2 linked regions of the Styela clava genome follow. The protein of the gene in region 1 interacts with the protein of each later gene in a pairwise test. Links are inferred from orthologs where the notes say so. Each region holds a gene or a part of one and is shown on either strand. Other genes may lie near its edges.

What was found.
Region 2: the proteins of kinesin-like protein KIF1B (region 1) and liprin-alpha-1-like interact in binary tests that used the Caenorhabditis elegans proteins (3 or more experiments, as listed by UniProt). The link is inferred for Styela clava from reciprocal best matches to the Caenorhabditis elegans genes unc-104 and syd-2.

Annotation. Positions count from the first base shown.
Region 1 is NC_135257.1:14,554,866-14,564,574, reverse strand, and holds the start of kinesin-like protein KIF1B, read right to left. Parts: upstream 3,909-9,709; 5' UTR 3,742-3,908; coding exon 3,642-3,741; intron 2,474-3,641; coding exon 2,397-2,473; intron 1-2,396. UniProt on the Caenorhabditis elegans protein: Motor protein involved in microtubule-associated anterograde transport. Regulates the transport of synaptic vesicle precursors in the axon of DA motor neurons. Regulates the polarized sorting of axonal proteins.
Region 2 is NC_135252.1:6,346,473-6,355,367, reverse strand, and holds the start of liprin-alpha-1-like, read right to left. Parts: upstream 4,057-8,895; 5' UTR 3,896-4,056; coding exon 3,812-3,895; intron 3,146-3,811; coding exon 3,080-3,145; intron 2,320-3,079; coding exon 2,221-2,319; intron 1,754-2,220; coding exon 1,652-1,753; intron 1,060-1,651; coding exon 895-1,059; intron 1-894. UniProt on the Caenorhabditis elegans protein: May play a role in regulating the structure of the neuronal region, called the active zone, from which synaptic vesicles send neurotransmitter signals across the synapse. This may be in association with the liprin-beta protein hlb-1.

The sequences.
Region 1 (9,709 bases):
TTGAAGTGAGTAGTGAAGTGAGTAAAAATACAAATAAAAATTTGGTAAGTTGGTATTTAATAAAAATGAGTTTATCATGAGATAATGATAATCAATAATGAAAGCTCAATAAAGTGCCCACTGTGACCTCTTCTTTGTCCTGATAATTCTTATTGAATTAATCAAAACGGGCAAACATACCTGACTGTGACCTACCTTGCTTTAAGTAAACATTCATAAAAGTATAGTTTAATGATTTATTGTATTAAAATAAGAATGATAGCAATAATCTTTATAACAATGAAGATGATGACTAACGATGATGGTTACAGAATAGCATATTGACATTTTTATTACAAGTTCGTTATTTTCCTGCCAACAAGGCTTTAAACATGCAGCACCTTATGTGTAACAATATACTATAGTTTTCCAAGAATTATAATTTTTCAGTTTGCCAAAGCTTAGTCAACTCTTTATGTAAAAGGTGAGATGGTTGGGCACGAGGTAAACGCCCGTAAAATATTGTGGGTGCGATGGCCTAGTGCAGTGCTTCTCGAAGCCGCGCCCACTTTTAAGAATTTGTCAAGTCTCGCGTGTCGCGCCCACCTCAAAAATAAGTAGCCAATAATAATAAGCTACAGATAACATATAGTAAGACAAAGTATGTTTTAGTCAAAAAACATACAGAAAATATGTGGCAGGAACGTAAATAATGAAAAAAAAAATAAAAAGTTTTGAAATGTAAATATTCAAAATAAGGTGGGCAAGATCAAATCTAACAAATATTTTTATTTTTAATTAGTTTCTGAGGCTCCTCAAAAAATTGTCTACATCCCCTTTGTGGGGCGCGCCCCACCGTTTGAGAACCACTGGCTGGACTTAATCGGATTCAGATCCCATGACCATCACCTCACTCCGAGTGTACTAAATTAGTAGTAGGCAGAGTTGAGAATAAAAAATTTTGGTCTTCCCAAACTAGAGTATCTCACTACCTACTCATGTCTGCATATGCAAGTGTGCAGAGCCTTGCTCAGAACAAAAAGTATATAAATAGTGTTATATATATATGGTAGTATATAAAAATAAATATCATCTGGATTCGGATTATATTGAAGATATAAAAGAAAATTGTTGTGGAATCATCTTGAGAATTTCAACTTGAAAGTGTTCTCAAATCTATATATAAGTCTGAAACACCATGTAATAAATTATTCATAGCAGTGTTGAAGGTAATCAAGATATCAGCCCTGTCAATTCTCATATCTGGATATCATAAACTTTAATTCAGAATATCTTTTTATAGATCAGGTCAAAATGTTTAAATTGGCATCAGGTCAAAAACAAATTTAACTAAGATTAATAAAATCATTTTTGTTATAAGATATTTTTCTCTTTTATTGAGGCATTAATTAGAACTTTAGAAGACAATAAAGTATTGTTTAGAAAAAAGGACATTTTAAACTTCTATCAATATCATTAGAAATTTGTTTTACATTGTAAAAGCTTTATCATGTACAGTAAAATCATGATATATGTCAAAATGGCCTAAAAACTTTATTATTTAATAAATATATCTTCAAACAATACATCTACCAGATGCATTTCATAATTATCACATTACTATAAAACAAAAATAAGATACAAATTTTAAACAGTATCAAAATGCTTCCATGGTGATATAATAAAAGCAAATTTGGCTTTAGTTTTTTGTATTCTTCAATGATCAAAAAATTATAAGGAGTTACGCTCAGCATTGATACTTCATTAAATTATCTCAAAACTTCACAATCATCGATTTTGGCTTTTTAGAAAGAACTGGTAATGATGTTATAGTATATTATTACAGCAGCATTCTCAACCACACTGAATGAGAATGCCCACAGCAGGTTGAAAATTGATTTTTTTTCTGTGTTATTTACTGTGTTAACTGTTGACTTTTTTGACAAAAGTAGTGAAAACGGTAATTTTATTTTACTGATACTGAAGATTTCGTCTTGAATTTTGGAAGAAAAATCAGGTGCGCAATAAACAAAAAAGTTAGTAGAATTACTGTGTTGCAGCATAATTTATGCCATGTTATTACTCACAGTTCCTAGTTATAAGGATACATACAATTGTAAATAGAATATCTGACAGTTTTCAGATATCATATTTCTAGAACTTAGACGTAAAACCTTTTTTCCTCAGTGCAAGACCATGAATTTTTCATGGCAATCCATTTTTCTTGCCACACAGCTCCGAAAAATTGAATGACGTCATACTGTGGTGGAATATGTATTCATATATGGGTATATGATAAACTGCATCAGTTGGCTCGATTTATATATAGTTCATGCTTGTTAGAGATAGTTGTGTTCAAGAGGAATGATTCATGCTCTTAAGAATTAAAAGAATTAAAGAGAATACTGGATACCCACCTCACCGAATGACCAATATGAATGATCATAATTGAAACTTTTTGGATTGTCTCCCGGCTGCCTTGGATTTCTTATAACTGAAATTGAATATAAATCAAATAATATTAATATATTTTATAAAAATTGTTACTTCACGATACAATGTTAAAAATCAGTGCATGTAGCCTATATTGGAAATTTAAATTATTCAACCTAATTCACAGAAGTATCATGTAATTGAAAAAGGGTAATAATTAGTAAAATTAATAAAATAGAATACAAGGAAGAAACTTATTGATCAAGAAAAAATAATCATAAATAAATATTGACTATTGCTTAAATGGTAGACATGGGAATTCTGTCATCTAGAACCTTCCATAAACCACAGGCTTTAATTATGAACAATGATCAAATGGAGAAAGCTGATACATATGGCGAGGAAATCGAAGCATATATCATGCAATTCTCATGGGAGGCGGAAAACGACAGTATATATTCTTAGTCAATTAATAATGCTTGCCACTGCAACACAATTCCCAAATGCATGAATGACGAAGCAATACACAACCAGTTGCTTATCCATTTCAGAATACTATTTCTTAATCAAACAAGTTCGATCATGGGCCATAATATCAAACTGTCAATAAAACAATTTTCATTTACAGTTCATACATGATAGAAAATTCTGATCAGATATAATTAAACGATATTATTGGAAAAAAAAATTTTGTAATGGCATTGACGTAATGGAAATATGAAAATATATCACACCTTTGATTTGACAAAATGAAATGCGAACCTGGTACATAGATTTGAATTGAATGTGTGCAAATTTGGATGAATCTAGTTCCAACTTTTTAACATAGAAACAAACATTTGAAGCTTCTAATGGTTTCCCAAACTTTAATTGTAATTCAATGTTCAATATTAATTTCAATATTTGGCAATATATAAATACCAGTATATGAAAGCAAATGAGATGAAACAATGGGTCTGATATTCCGAGCCAAACCATCAAAGCGGTTAAAATACTTCTCTCTTTACATTGTCCTATCTAATGAAACAAACTATTATAACCCCGAACTAGGAGATATGGATTAAAAAATAAATACCTTTTATTGTTCATTTAAATATTTTTGAGGAACTTTTTGAAAAATTATTGATTTTGTGATGACGCACCTAGGCCCCAATGCCTAACATTTAATAATAGCCTATATAAACTTCTTTTTTTGTGTGAAAAATATTCACTTAGTAAATAATACTCACTTGTTGTTGCTTCATTCATCTCAATAATACATTTTGCATTTCTACTTTTCTCTCGACTGTTGAAAGGTCGGACACGTACTGCAACCTTCACAGAAGACATTCTGTTGATTTACTTCAGTCCAATGTTCAAATGTGAATTTGTTGAAATTTCTGACTACATTTGTGCATTGAGATATTGTGTTTATGATTTAATTACCAAATTAACAGAAAATTTTGGAATGATCATTCCTAACTAATTTTATTATTTTAATTCTGAGAAGATATTAAGAATGAAGAAAGTAAGTAAGTTTAACTAAAATATGAGACTAATGTTAATGCAGTGGCCTATTGTTAAAAAGGCTACACATTTTCCCTAAAATTTGTAAAGCAAAAAAAATTGATGTTGGAGATTTGGAGAAAATATAGTAAAAAATTATTCACAGATTCTATCAAATGAAAGAACTCCAAAATTGATTTTCTTCAAAATGTCTGTATGTAATAATAATACTGAATTAAATTAAGTTGTAAAGATGAATTTAGAATAACCACAGTGCAGAAAAAAAAAAAAATTTCCGAAAAATATCATATATCATGTGTATTAACAATATGTAGTTTTACTGTTCTCATTACCTTAATAAATACTTCAAGTCCTCAAATAATTAATACTTGATAGCAGCCTTAGTTTTAAATCAATCTCTATTAGTTAAGACTGCCTTCTTTTGACCTCGTCTTGGGTCAATATAAACAATCAAAAAGCAAGCCAATGTCACCAACAGAAAAACTTTGCTAAATTGTTAATAATTAATATTGTTGGGACGGAATCATCTTTCGCTTCAACTACTGACCATATCCCTTCAACATTTTGAGTAGTTGAAGATTGAAGCATCTCTGAGAAGGATGTTACTTTTATATTTTTCATATTTTTGTATAGCTCAAATTGTGCCACGGAGTTACTCTTAGTTTTTTTTAGAATTTGCAAAAAGCGAAATCAAAAATACTCAATGTGAAATGCATAATCTCAGTAATATTTCAGTATTAGTAAACATACACTAAATTGAAAAAATCTAAGTGACACAGGAAATTGAACAGAAACTGTTGATTTAAAAGCAGTAAAAATCTACCTCAACTACAAAATGTATTCTTGAATCCCATATAAATATTAGTTACATATGAACATATACATTATCAAAGCTATTCCATTATTATACTTTTTGTACCCATAGCAAAGTCACAGGTAGGCAACAAATATCATAGATATAGATCGTCACTATTTAGGTACAAAAGGAAATATATTTAACAAAATTATGAGAGAGATTCCACCAGGGACAAGATTTAAATAGTCACACAAAGTAACATCATATCGCTCAAGAATTGAAAAGTTCAATTATGTAATGCTTATAAAATTGATTATTCAAGGAAATAAGAAAAGCATTTACCGGTAATAAAGATAAAAATAAGTCCAGTTCTATTCTTTCCTTACAAAATATGCATATTGATGAATGATTTCTTTTTGATTTAGTACCATATCAGCAATATTATATTCCTTCATCTAGAACAAAGAATTGGCTAGAAGATTACATTAGGCACACACATGTTACCAAACTGAAGATTTAAGGCTTACATAGTCGTATCAATTGTCTTTCAGTCTGTCCAGCAAAATACAGTAAAATACACTGTAAATAGTCTTATACTGTAATAACTAGACTAAGGTACTATAAAATCTGACTTGTTCATCAAACTTGATATGATCTTCACTATGGACAGATGAAAGCGATCTAAATATTAATTCTTATTTTGCCGTACTTTATTCTGCTATTGCAAGATAATGTTACCGCATTCTGGTGTTACGTGTCAGCTTACCTCAGCGAAGCAGTGGCGTCGAAACTCTTCAACCATGCTAACTCTAATATATCTTAATAAGATATTAGTCCTACAACTGTTCTTTTACATTCGTATTGCGTGTACAGTACAGAGGTGAAAACATACCACGACCAGAACAGCAACAAACAACATGGGCAAATCGGCAAACAAGCCCCGCGGCAGTACGGGGATTTCCCAAAGAATTTCTTCAACTTTTGCGTAACCAGCAGGGCATAGCGAATCTGGCTAACTTGGGGAGTAAATTACTTATCACTGTTTCAAACGAGTTAATGATGATTGGAATTGCTTTCAGTCGAATTTAATTACACGGAATTTATTAACACAAAGTTCTCCAGTTGTAAGAATACATGGGTTAAAACACAGTAATTAACTGATAACAGCTGCAAATTTTAAATCTCCTTCTATTCATAGGATAGGATTTATAGTGATATTTATTGTTTAAGAGGATCAGTCTGTAAGTTCCAAATGCTCCAACATCTTTGCTACCTACTATGTAAATACAGTAACCGTTTTCCCCATTTCACAATTACATTCAGTATCCTTTTCATTTTAGAATTTAGAATATAATAATTGGAAATCCACACTTATTCTTGAAAATAGAAATGCTTGGTCAATCATCATTACATAACAAATTAATTGTTTTGTATGCATGGCCTTAGAACAGGGGTGGGCAACATACGGCCCGCGGGCCGGGTCCGGCCCGCGACGAGATTTTGACCGGCCCGCCGACTGTATCCAACCTCACTCTGTAATGTGGTACGACGCATCATTCCTGAAAGTTGCCGATCACTCTACTCTCACCACACTGTCAGTGCGAGCTGGGGAAACAAACAATTGTCTTAATGAACAAACAATTGACCTCTCTCTTCCGACCTTTGACCCCCGAAAGATCATTACCATTGTGAAAAGTCTTTACCATTGTGCAAAATTGTCGGGGCTCCTTTTAAAAGTGGTTTCGCGAGTTGGCGCTTGTAAAATGGGGTATGTGTTTGAAACTATCATTATTATTTATCGCATACAACAATATGTTTTTTAAAAATACCGGTAAAGAATTTTGGCCTAGTCTATCACAGTTATTTCTACACTAATTTTTTTATTTCTGCAATTAAATCAAAAACTCTTAAGACAGAGTAATCATTGACTTATCTAATTTCTATTTAAATTTCCGAAACACAACTGAAAACTAACGAATAGAGTTCAAAAACATGAAAACGAGGTAATGTTTACGACCACGCCTGAAAATCTGTCTGAGCAGATGCGAAAAGGGAGCATTGTTACGTCACTTTTTGCATCTTGCTGATTGGCGAATGTCACGAAGTAAACAAGGAAGTCGATGCTCGGAGAAAGGTCCATTGCCTTAGCGCACTTGGTAAACAAACAATATAAGGTCAAAGCAGAGAGCGTTGTAAACATTCCCCACTACTGTTATCAGTTATATTTATATTCTCAATATAAATAGATTTTAGGAATTAGATTTTATATTAATATTAGGTTTTATTAACCATTAAATATCCCAAGAAACGTAAAATTGACAGAGACTGTCGAGCATTTAACAAAGATTGGATACCGAAGTATTTTTTGTAATAATCCGGCCCGCCGAGGACTTAATTTTCCCACATCTGGCCCGCCGACTAGAGAAGTTGCCCACCCCTGCCTTAGAACATTGAGGAAGTCGTAACAGCCAGTGGCTTCACGGGTGTCGTTACTCGATAACTATTTTTTGTAATCTTTTCATTTTGGAATAGTTTTCTTCATTCGATTCATGTATTTTCCTTGAACTGTGTGTATTTCCAGAGCGGTGAAAATTACAGAATATTATATATACTACCTATCAATCATTGCAATCATGATGATTTCAGCAACCCTTCATACATAATTCCCACAACGTTTTTTTTTTTATATAGACTGGAGGAAGCGATACGACCATGCGGTCATCAGAGTCAGCTCCCTCAAAGTTGACAACTGCGTTCATAACGCATAATTAACACCCCAACCACCGATCCCCATGATTCCTAAACCGCTTTTGTTTTACTGTTTATGTTACATACTAAATAACTTCGATTCTAACACAAGAAATAAAGTTTATATGCTGGTCGATGATTCCATTTACGCTTCATAACTTCTGTCGATGGTTTTCGATTATTTTTTAATAACCACAAACGCTGCCCTGACTCAAAAAGTCTTATATAGCCTACAAGTATTACATTGAAGATCACTGCGCTCTGATCCTTAAGTTTTCTTAACTAAATTTCTTTTAATCGCACCAGTCTGCGGCCTATCACGTTAAAATGAAAAATAAATTGGATCGAACATCCGTCCGTCTGTAGTGTCTTCATGAATATTTTAGAGTGGCTGGCGAGAAGCACACCGCGAACTTACGATACGAAAATATATCGATCTTCTCAAATGGCACAAGAAAGTCCCAAAAGGCACGTCAACAGTTTTAGTTTATGAATAATTCAATACTATTTACGGCCATCCATAAAGTTATAATCGCGCTTGGTGAAAATACTTTGTGAGCTAAGAGTAGGGTAGCCCTGGATTTAAACCACTAATTCGATAATATGGCATATTGTATACGACAATTTATCCCGGAAGATTGTAATGATCAGTGACTTTTCTTTTAATATGTCAGTTCACACATTATAACAATATTAAGAAACCCAATAAAATAAAATAAGATGTATTTTAAATTTTAATTTACCTATAGGCCTATATACAGTATTCCATATCCATCAAACGCATAACTTATGCCGTAATGGATAGTAATAGTGGTTGTAACATAAAATACTGCAGATTTAATAAGTTGGCCCAAATATTCATATATGTGTTATATTAAGAATGTATCATTTTGTGTGTTATTTTGATACTCATTTTCCTGGTCTTGGTTCCAGTTTCTGCGGTTACGGATTCTAGAAATTTGCAATCGGATACCAAAATTGTATACATTATATTTATACAACAATGTACATTTCTTGTTTGAATGTACGTGGAGTGTGGGCAATGCTGTTGTAAATCTGTTGGCGAACGTTTTACTCAACCATAGGCTCGGGAGTAAGATTGTATGTAACACTGCTTTAAAGATTTTAGGCTGATGTATAGGCTAAACTAGGTTCAACTAAAATCTAGTAACAAGTCACACAATCCCCGTCGATACTGTTTGTTACGGGCTACCTTAGATTCTATACCTCACTTTTGCCCTCTTAAATTGCTATATTATAACTCTTTTTTGAGACTTACTACTGTGAATCTGATTGTCATACCAGTTATTTTATGTATTTATTGTGTTATTTTCGTTTTGCTTATGTTTATTTGTTGTGTTGTTTTTATATGGACCACAGCGGTCTGGAGTAATAAACGAATTGAATTAATATGCTTTCCAATGGCCTATTGAAAATGCTGACGTGGTGTTCTCTTGAAAAATAATACGATCAGAAACAGATGAATCAGTTCAGAGATGACTAGACACTTATTGAAATGATCAATCCTCAATGTTTTTGATTTTTGTTTTTTTTACAGTAGACTTAATGTAGGTCGTCAGAGATTAAGTATCGAAATAATTTATTATCATTGTTTTTGTTTTCTAAATCACTTCTTTAAGCTTGGAGCAATATTTATTGTTCAACATGGTTGTCTTTGACTTAAAGGTACTCAGCCGGCTTTAAATGAAATGTCTATTGACAACTCCAATACGGATAACGTAGGCATATTTAAAATATATTAAATTCGTGCTTTTGAGCTTGGAAAAAATAGTAAACAATTATCACTATAAATATATAATATAATTCGTCATATAAACAAATCTAATTCTACGCGAGTATTCGTTCCCAAATATATCGCAGAAATAACCACATGGAGGGCCTTTTAGTTCTTCGTTAGCATATCCGAAACTCAGAATCTCAGAGTAACATTGTGCTACCAATCAACTACAGTTGTTCTTTATCATCTTCTTCGTCCGTTTTCAGTAGGCTCCAGTTCGCTATCGCCACCAAACGTCTTAAAAAACATAACAATGCTTCACGAGGTTGAAAATTACGAACAGTTGGAACAAAAAACGCTATATGTATCAGTGATCACCACCTGATTGATATACACATGTAGTTCAGAACTTGACCATTGTCGCTAACGTTGCTAAAGTGATTTTACACGTTGTGTTCGCGACCTTTCTTGGGACAAACCGCACAAAAGACGGATTATAACCAGTGGTG
Region 2 (8,895 bases), on another chromosome or scaffold:
AATGCCCAGTCCTATTTATTAGTCATTGGATATGCTTACTATCAAGAATTTCACTTTGCAGCAATAACATGAATTGAGATTTTGACATTGTTTATCTCACAGAAATATTGTTTGACACAAGCTATTAATAATACAGCAGCAAAGTTGCAGTAGCCAGACCTTGCCTCCTTGACTGTGATATGTTAAGGAGACTCTCATATCATTTTGAAACTGTTCCATAATCAATCTGTACTTGTTTTCAAAATCCTAATAACAGCGTCAAATTTAAAATATAATGTTTATATTGTCTGTGTGTTCTCACCAATTGGGTTAAAAGCCTGTGCTAATATTTTGCAATAATAATTAATTGTTTTCAATTAACATAATTCCTAGGTTATGATAATTTAATAAAACAGTGGTTCCCAAAGTTGATTGACCAGGGGGCAAAATTAGAAGCGAAAGAATATTCGCGAGTCAGGAGAGGGGAGCGACTGCAAGGGCGCAAAATCGTATGTAACCCTAATACCCCTTTGTATAATTAAGATATCGATATAATTGAATTGTTACGAAAATACACATGCTTGAATTGAGATATAACAATTGGAGGTATCTAAAACGCAAAAAAGTAAAACATGGAGTGTTCAAAAGTTCGGCGGGACATATTAAATCGTTACGTGGGTCGTAATTGGCCCGCGGGTTGCAGTTTGGGAACCACTGTATATAATGTTATGTTAGATAGTGAAAACTAGACAAAAATATACTTATCATGAAATTAGAGTTGTACAATTGCACTATTGCATGCATATTTCCACGCTAAGGTGTTTACATTATGACAAATATAATAATAGAAAGTCTTTCTATATCTAAGTCATTAGAATGATGAACATTCAAGAGATCACAACATGCAACATTCACCTTCTCATCGAGAGCTTTATGATGTTCAAAAAGTGATTTGAGAGCTTTCAAAACCTCAACTTCACTTGACACACCGGTACTTTGTTGCTGCTGCCGTTTGACGACTGTCATACGAAGGGAGCGCTCATGACGAGATACCAACGCTTCAAGATGTTCCAGCAGCAACTGAATAAATTTAACAAAAACTTGAGCATTGAATTATTCTCACTTTCTATTCTATACGAAATTGGTCTGATAACTGAGTAAACACATCTAATATATCCATCAATAAACTGTACAATTAATGATATGTGATAAAGATTGCTAGCTTTTTTAGTTATGAGCCAAATTGGGTATCAATGTACCAGGGGTGTGGAGTTTACACCCGAATCCGTGCCAATCAAAAAATGGCTTTGGCTGTGGCTTCTGAGTGATAACAATTTTGACTCCAGCTCTCTCTCCAGACTTCAATAAAATCTAAATTTGATAGCTTAACGACTAACATATTAGGTTCATGAAACTCATGATATCGAAAAAATGAATGACATCAAGCAGAGTTACTTGTTGTCACAGAGGTATCAGAATTTTCAAAAAGGAAAGGGTTTACAATCAGAATCGAAAATTATCATGCAAAGGCTCTTTAAACAGTCACTACAATTACGCAAACCACTTATTACAAAATTTTTTTTTATTGATAACAATGGCGCTTGCCGCGCCACCTCATATAAACATCAAAATTGATTCAGTACTTATCATGAGAATACAAATACATAGATACCCGTGTATTATTTCTTTCAGCTTTTAATTCAGAAATTTCTTCCTCATGTTCTAAAATTCTATCACGAGATTGATTGAGCTCTTTAGACATAGCAGCATAATCCTGATAAAGAATGCATACATTGCAGATGAATAAAGCATCTAAGTTCAAACTTAAGAATATAATAGTACATCATTGATAGGTTTGATTTTTAAACGCTAATTAATACAAATTTTTAAGTTATTTTAATCACATATTAGACTATTGAATGGGCGGAATCAAAATAAAATGCTTTAGTTTGGAGAAAATTTCAGATTCAAACTCCAGTTCTTAACTCTGTAAAACTTTGACGTATGTATGCAAATTCTCCCTTTTTCCATTGGGAATGCCTAGTCAACCGAAGTTCTGTTGAATTCTTCTCGCAGAAAAAACAAAAGTATAATTTAGCTTTTGTTCACTTATCAGCAAGTAGCAGTCCGATGCGTCAACAGCAACAATAGGCAATAATAGATAAGAAAGGCTCTTCCTGTTTTATACTGTTGTTTATTAACCTTTTTGGATTAAAACCTATAAGTAAAAAAACTACTTACAGATGGCATCGAATTGGTCAGTTGTCTGTTGAGAAAGTCTCTTTCATGTGAAACCTCTTCCAATTTCGCTTTTGAATCTTCAAGTTCATCTTTCGTTTTCTAAAGAATTAGCATGAATACAAGATTAATTAATTATTACAAAATCTATCAATGTCAAATATATTGTGATATGTGTAAAAAACGCAACGGCCATCGCACCACTGATTACATTGATTGAGTTTCTCAGTTTGAATCCAGCGAGAAAGAAGTATGTGTGAGAAGATTACTTGATTCCTCCCTGTCATAAGGTGGTTCATATATAATCACTGGTCAGTTACGACTTTCTCCAGGTATCCGCATATCAAACAATTGACTAGTAACTATTACCATACTAGGCATCAAACTGGATGAGAGGCCAAAATTTGGGTACTCCCGAAGTATGTGAACCAAGATGGCGTACACCAGAATGTAGTATGTGTACCAGGTTAGGGTTAGGCCATAATTTCAGGTACAAATACTACGAGAGTCACTTGGCTACTCCCCGAACTCGTGATAGAACTAAAATAAGAAAAATTGGAATAAAATTATTGCCCAACCCTAACCTGGTATGCATACTACGTTCCGGTGTCTGCCATCTTAGTTCACATACTCCGGGAGTACCAAAGTTTGTCCTATTGTTGAGCTGTCATATTATTTTCAGTTTCCCCGAAAAAGTATGTTGAAAGGAAAAATTTCAAAAAAAGATGCCAACTTCAATTTATTGTTTCTTGAAAAAATATATTTTTTCTAATAGAATTTATTTCGAGTTTGGTTAAGGCTACAGATTACAAATGTTTAATATGACAAAACCCCAGTATCTCTGATGCATCTTGCATTTTACCTGTAAAGTATCAAGAAGTTTATCTCTTTCATCCAGTATGGTTACCATCATATTTTCCATGTTTGTCTGAATAGAAAGAAAAATGTAAAGTGTAAAATTCACTAAAACAAATTTGTTGAAAGCAAGGTCACACACACATTCATTCAGAAGTAGAGAAGGTCATCTCTGTGCAAAGTTACAGCGACTACAGGAATGTTAAGATTTCCTGAAACTACGAAGATTATGATGGTGCATAACGCACAAACATATGCCGATTGGCACAAGACTTCGAACAGTTCAATTCAGTGGGTTCATTGAAAAGATATCGGGAAGTAAAAAAGTATTTGGTATTTGTCAAGGGGTGGGTATACTGACTTGTTAGTTTTCCAGGAGGGACAAGTACAAAAAGTCCAGAACGCCACAGTAGATTATCATATCAGTAAAATAATCAGTGAAGTGAAATTTTGTCAATAAAGAAGAAATCAATAGGACATTTCAACATCATTTAGTGATTACATCTTCAAAAAACAAACTTTTAACAACAGACAATCCGAAGAAAAATTCAACAAAATCTATTTTAAAAACACAGGACATTAGCAAACAAACATATTAATTCACAAAAAAACAAATCATCAAAATTAATCATGAAAAATAGGAACGGTTTACCATAACAAAATAAACAAAATTACAATTTAATTTGAGAAAATAATCAACATATTATCAAGAAGCAAAATATTGGAATATCATTCTTACTTGATCTTCTTCGCCATCACTGTTATAAGAGCCGGCCCGACTGATTTTATCTTCTGAAATTGTGGGCATAACATCGCACATCATTTTGATATGTTTTTGAAATGTACCGATATCCCAAATGAAAATAAACTGGGTGCATTTGCATCTGTTGACTATTATTACCTACACAACAGCATAAAAGAAGTCGATAGTACTGGCTTGTAATCACATTATATGGAGATACAAATAAAAATAGAGTTTAGCTAGTATCTGTTCAGAAAAAAAAGCATTTACCGTAGATCAGGGATGTGCAAGGTTTTTGGACTATGGACTAAAAATTTTGCTCACTCAGACTAGCGGGCCATCTAAGTGTGACGTAATAATTTAGCTATTAATTTCAACGAATCTTGGTGCAGAAAAGAAATGCAAAACAACAGATCATTAGAAACTCTCGGGAAACGATAGACAGTTTTATATAGTAGGCCTAAATGCAGAATTGGTTGAAAAGCAGAAATTTCTCGCAGCATCAGACGGGTCAGATTGAATCACCCAACAGGCCGGATTTGTCCCGCGGTCCATGTCAAACATAGATAAAATACTAAATTTGAAACATACTGTACCAATATACAGTACAGCACACTATCCAAATTCCAAGAATTTCCCTTCATTTGGCTCAATAAAACAAACACTCCATGTGTCTCACAAACGAGGGGCTTCTGGGACCACGTCAGATGCTTCATATCGCACCATGCTTGTCTCAATAATATTCTAAATTAATCGTGGCCGTTACATGACCAAAATTGCCGTTTTTTGCTAAAAACTCTTGAATGCTACGGTAAAATATTTTTTCCTTCGGTAAATCTGAATATTCTTTCCCAAGGAATTCAATGATGACGTTACTAGATTGCGCTTTTTTGTAGTATTTTGTGCAACTTCATTATACTGTATTATTACCGATATTGAATGACAACAATGTCCAGACGCCTCCCAAAGGAGGGGTGTCTGATCATCTGTAAAATGGGTTTCTCTGAAACGGGACAATGTCACCCGATTTGTATAGTGTGCCATACTGATATAGGCTAGTATTTCTTGATAATATTTTAAATTGCAATTTGAGATATTTTGCACTATTATCATAACCAAATTCTTGAAACTTTTGAATGTTGATGATTATCTGATGATTTTGGCCAAAATGCTTAAACGTCTACAAATAAAACCTTTTCTATATCAATGCAATTCAGTTTTAAGCTCATGTGCAAAATCTAATATATGGTAAAATTACAAACTTTCAGATTTTATCCATTGTCGCATGAAAATGATACAAGATAAAAGAGAAATTCATGAATTAGTTTTATTCAATTTTTACAATTCTGCAATTTTTGATTTTTTTTTTTTGATGAGATAATTTGAAAAATCACTAATTCGGGCAGTTCAAGTCTACCGTTATAACCTAAAAGTTCTTTAAATTTGTTCAATATTCAAATCATCGAAAATGCATCGACTTCTATGGGTTCTCTGTTGAACATCGTCCAATTTAGAATATATCATGATATTCCATATTTTAGAATGTAGTTGGAATGGTAAATTATTTGATTTCGGCTCTCCATTTTATATTTGTATTCACATGCAGAAATAAACAAATATATACCGATATATATAACATTATCCAGTAAATCTGTAAATTGAATGTATCGTACAGGCCCACAAACGTCATGAACACGCTGTGACTATATCATTTATAGAAAGGTTTAGTCTAAAATAATAAAATTGATCAAATAACTTATAATCCAAGGTATCAGTAATAAATTAACATTTCTTGAGTTTGACGCCCACTCACTGCTGCACTGACTTAAAAATATAAAAAAAATAATATTACGGTGTCAAATGCGATTCGCTTGAAAACTGGAAAAGGAGCGTATGGGCGACAACGATCAGACTCATTAGAAATATTTCATTAATATCCCAGGATCCTGTGAGGATGAAACTTCTGGTCCAAAACCTGAAAACGTCCATGGACTGAAACATCAGTCAAGCTGTCAGTCTGTCGGCACAGACTAATAAAGTTACTGTGCTATTACCGGTACCGGTACTGCCCTAGTCTAATGACTCACCTGCCCTAAGACTGCAAAACGGTGAACACCTTCATTAAAAGTTTTAGACTAGCCCTATTTCACGCTGAATCTCTGGACTACAAGACTAGGTAGGTTCTGGCCTTCTGGGCTAAACTGACTAACAGACTAAAGACTGAAAGATGACGAGTAAACGGTATATATTGAAAATAGGAATCATTATTTTATCAAACGACCAGAATAAACACCGGTAGTGAAGTCCCATATTAACGAATGGGTACCTGTACCAAGTTAGTTAACTTATTCCTGATATGTATGAAGGCTATACAATAAGCGAAAAATCGGGGCAGCAGGAGGCCCTTAAGAAGCTGAAAACAGCCAAATTAGGTAGTAGATGTGAGCGGAGTCTGAACGTAAAGCTGTTTTTAATCGATATTTCATTTAATCCCGCTGCAATAGTGGAACTTTCCCCGTGTGGTTAAGATCGGGAAGATTGAAAAATTTGTAAAGGTTAAAAATGAACGGGTTGAATGAAAATTTGCGAATTGTTCTGGGTCTCTGAGTTTAACACTGATGTTATGATTTATTGAATTTTACTTCTGTCGTAGGCTTTCTTCGAATTATTTGATATGTTTGTTTCCGAACCCTTATACACTATTGTCCTTTTTATATTTTTTTGTGGTAATAAAATTCATATATATATATATAGATAGAGAGAGTGAGAGCGGCATTTTACATCTACGACCTTTTCAAATTAGACTTTCGCATTCTTTTTTTTCAAATAAAAAATAAATGAATTCAAATGACTGAACTAAGTTGTTGATAGAGCAATATTGGAAAAATCGAGCCCTGGTCTAGTGAAGTTGAAAAGACGAATAGAAGAAATGGGACAACAAATACCTTCCAATAAATTCAAAATGAAATAGAGCCATAAAGCATTGTTACCGGTAACACAAATCTCCAAATACCAAATCAATGAATCAGAGGTAGTAATTTAAATTGACTACAAATTTGCATGCAAGCAAACTATCAGGTATTCGAATAGATTTTGATTTTAGGCGTAAAGGGCAATCATAAAAATGAGAGTAAAGTGAGAAACTAAATGCTATGTCTATCGTCGGATGCGAAATTTGATGATGAACTCCACGAAAAAGACTGCTTGTACAGCACAGGTTTTAAAAAGCACATGAATTTCAATTGCTACTGTTCAAACTGAAGTTGGAGGCCAGGGCTTGGAATGTTTTTGGTATATTTAACTTTGTTGGTTGTTGTTCACATTTACGCTGCTACTATTTCTCGGCGGTGTGCTAAGCGTTAGGAAAACGTGCCCCCACTGCATCTCTGATGACCTTGCGTGGGTTCGCAGGTTCGAATCCCATGCGGGGATGATTATGTGCGATGGAATTGCTGGACTCCTCGCCGCCGTAGGGTGGTTCACGTAACCGCTGGTCGGTTACGGCTTCCTCCACCATCAAGTCCATGCTTCCGAAAACAAATAACTGGCTAACTAATCCCATACCCGACCTGGACTGGTAACCGGACGAGAGGCCGTGGTTCGCCATATGATTAAGCCATCTTATCGGCTTTCCTCTCCCCATGGATAAATATGTAAATCCCATCCTATTATTGTTGTTTAGCGTACAGTCAACTATTAGTCTTGTGCGTTCAAAATCACATCAATTACCACATGCTATGTACCGCTTGTTTATTCGAGTGGACTACATTACTGTTATGTTTTTGTATACACTATAGTAGAAATTGTATTTTAAAACTCCACACTCATGTACTCACGTCCGAATTGTCTTTCGATTTTTTATCTTTCTAAAACGTGTATTGTAGTTTGGGGTTAGTGAGCACGTGTATCAGCACGTCGAACATGTTTTTGGATTTTCCCTACTCTCTTGAGTTTTTGTATATACAGATATGCGTTTGTTTTGTGATATGTATTGTTTATTTGTTTTGTTGTTACGAATAAACTTACTTACTCAGGTCATGGTGGGTTTGCACGAGGGTTCAGACGTTCGTCGTGAAATGGAAACCCACGCAATAACTGCTGGACTGAATAAAGTGATGAACTTAGACACTGTTTTGTGGTTTTGTTCCACGTAGTTTGAACTCTTGTAGACCTATGCACTTATTGTTGTTATCGAGTCTACGCAAATAACTGGCTAACTAACCCCATTTCCACCATTAGGATTCCTCTCCACGGGATAAATATATTTGTCTGGTCTTCGCGCGATACAAAATACCGTGTTTACCCGAAATTAAGACCTAGCCTGAATTTTAAAAATAATTTTAATATGAGCCCTTTCCTTAAAATAAGACCAGGTACATAGCGAAATTTTCTTTCGACCCAATCGATGATTAATCTGAAACGTATGAGAGAGGAAAAGGTTCAAATACCTGAGGTAACGTGAGAATCACGCCACGACCGTATGGTTTACGTCAATATTGGCCATTTCGTGATATCAATAATATTATACGTGTCAGATAAAATAGTCCGAATAGGCAACACCCAAAATAAAGGGAGGTTCAGAGTGCTGCAGGTGCCACGGTAACAAGATGTTGCTACATAGGCCGCGAGCCGAGGCCATTTATCTTTCAGTTTCGTAGCGCACATAAGATAACTACCTGAAAATGATTTTAAAATGTTTGACTATTCAACAGACTTATACTACTATATAGGCCACAGCATATTTGGAAATAATAATTAATGGCTGTTTCTGTAATGCACGGTTGTGTGAAAGAGAAGAAAATAATCAATTTTACTAATGTCGGTTGGTCTAAATCTAAATTCATAGAGTCGACAAGAACCTGGGAAGCAATGAAAAGTTATGCCGGAGTGGAAAGAAGTAGCATTGGAAACGATTGAGAGGTGAGAAATCAAGTTGTAGACAGACAGTTGATGTTTTAAAATATAGTCTATAGTCCATATTCATACTGTCATAGGGCATTTCAGACTGTGATATATCAAAATTTAGTGTACTAGATATAGTATAGTAATGATATGCAAACACTGCTGCACTGTGGTACATG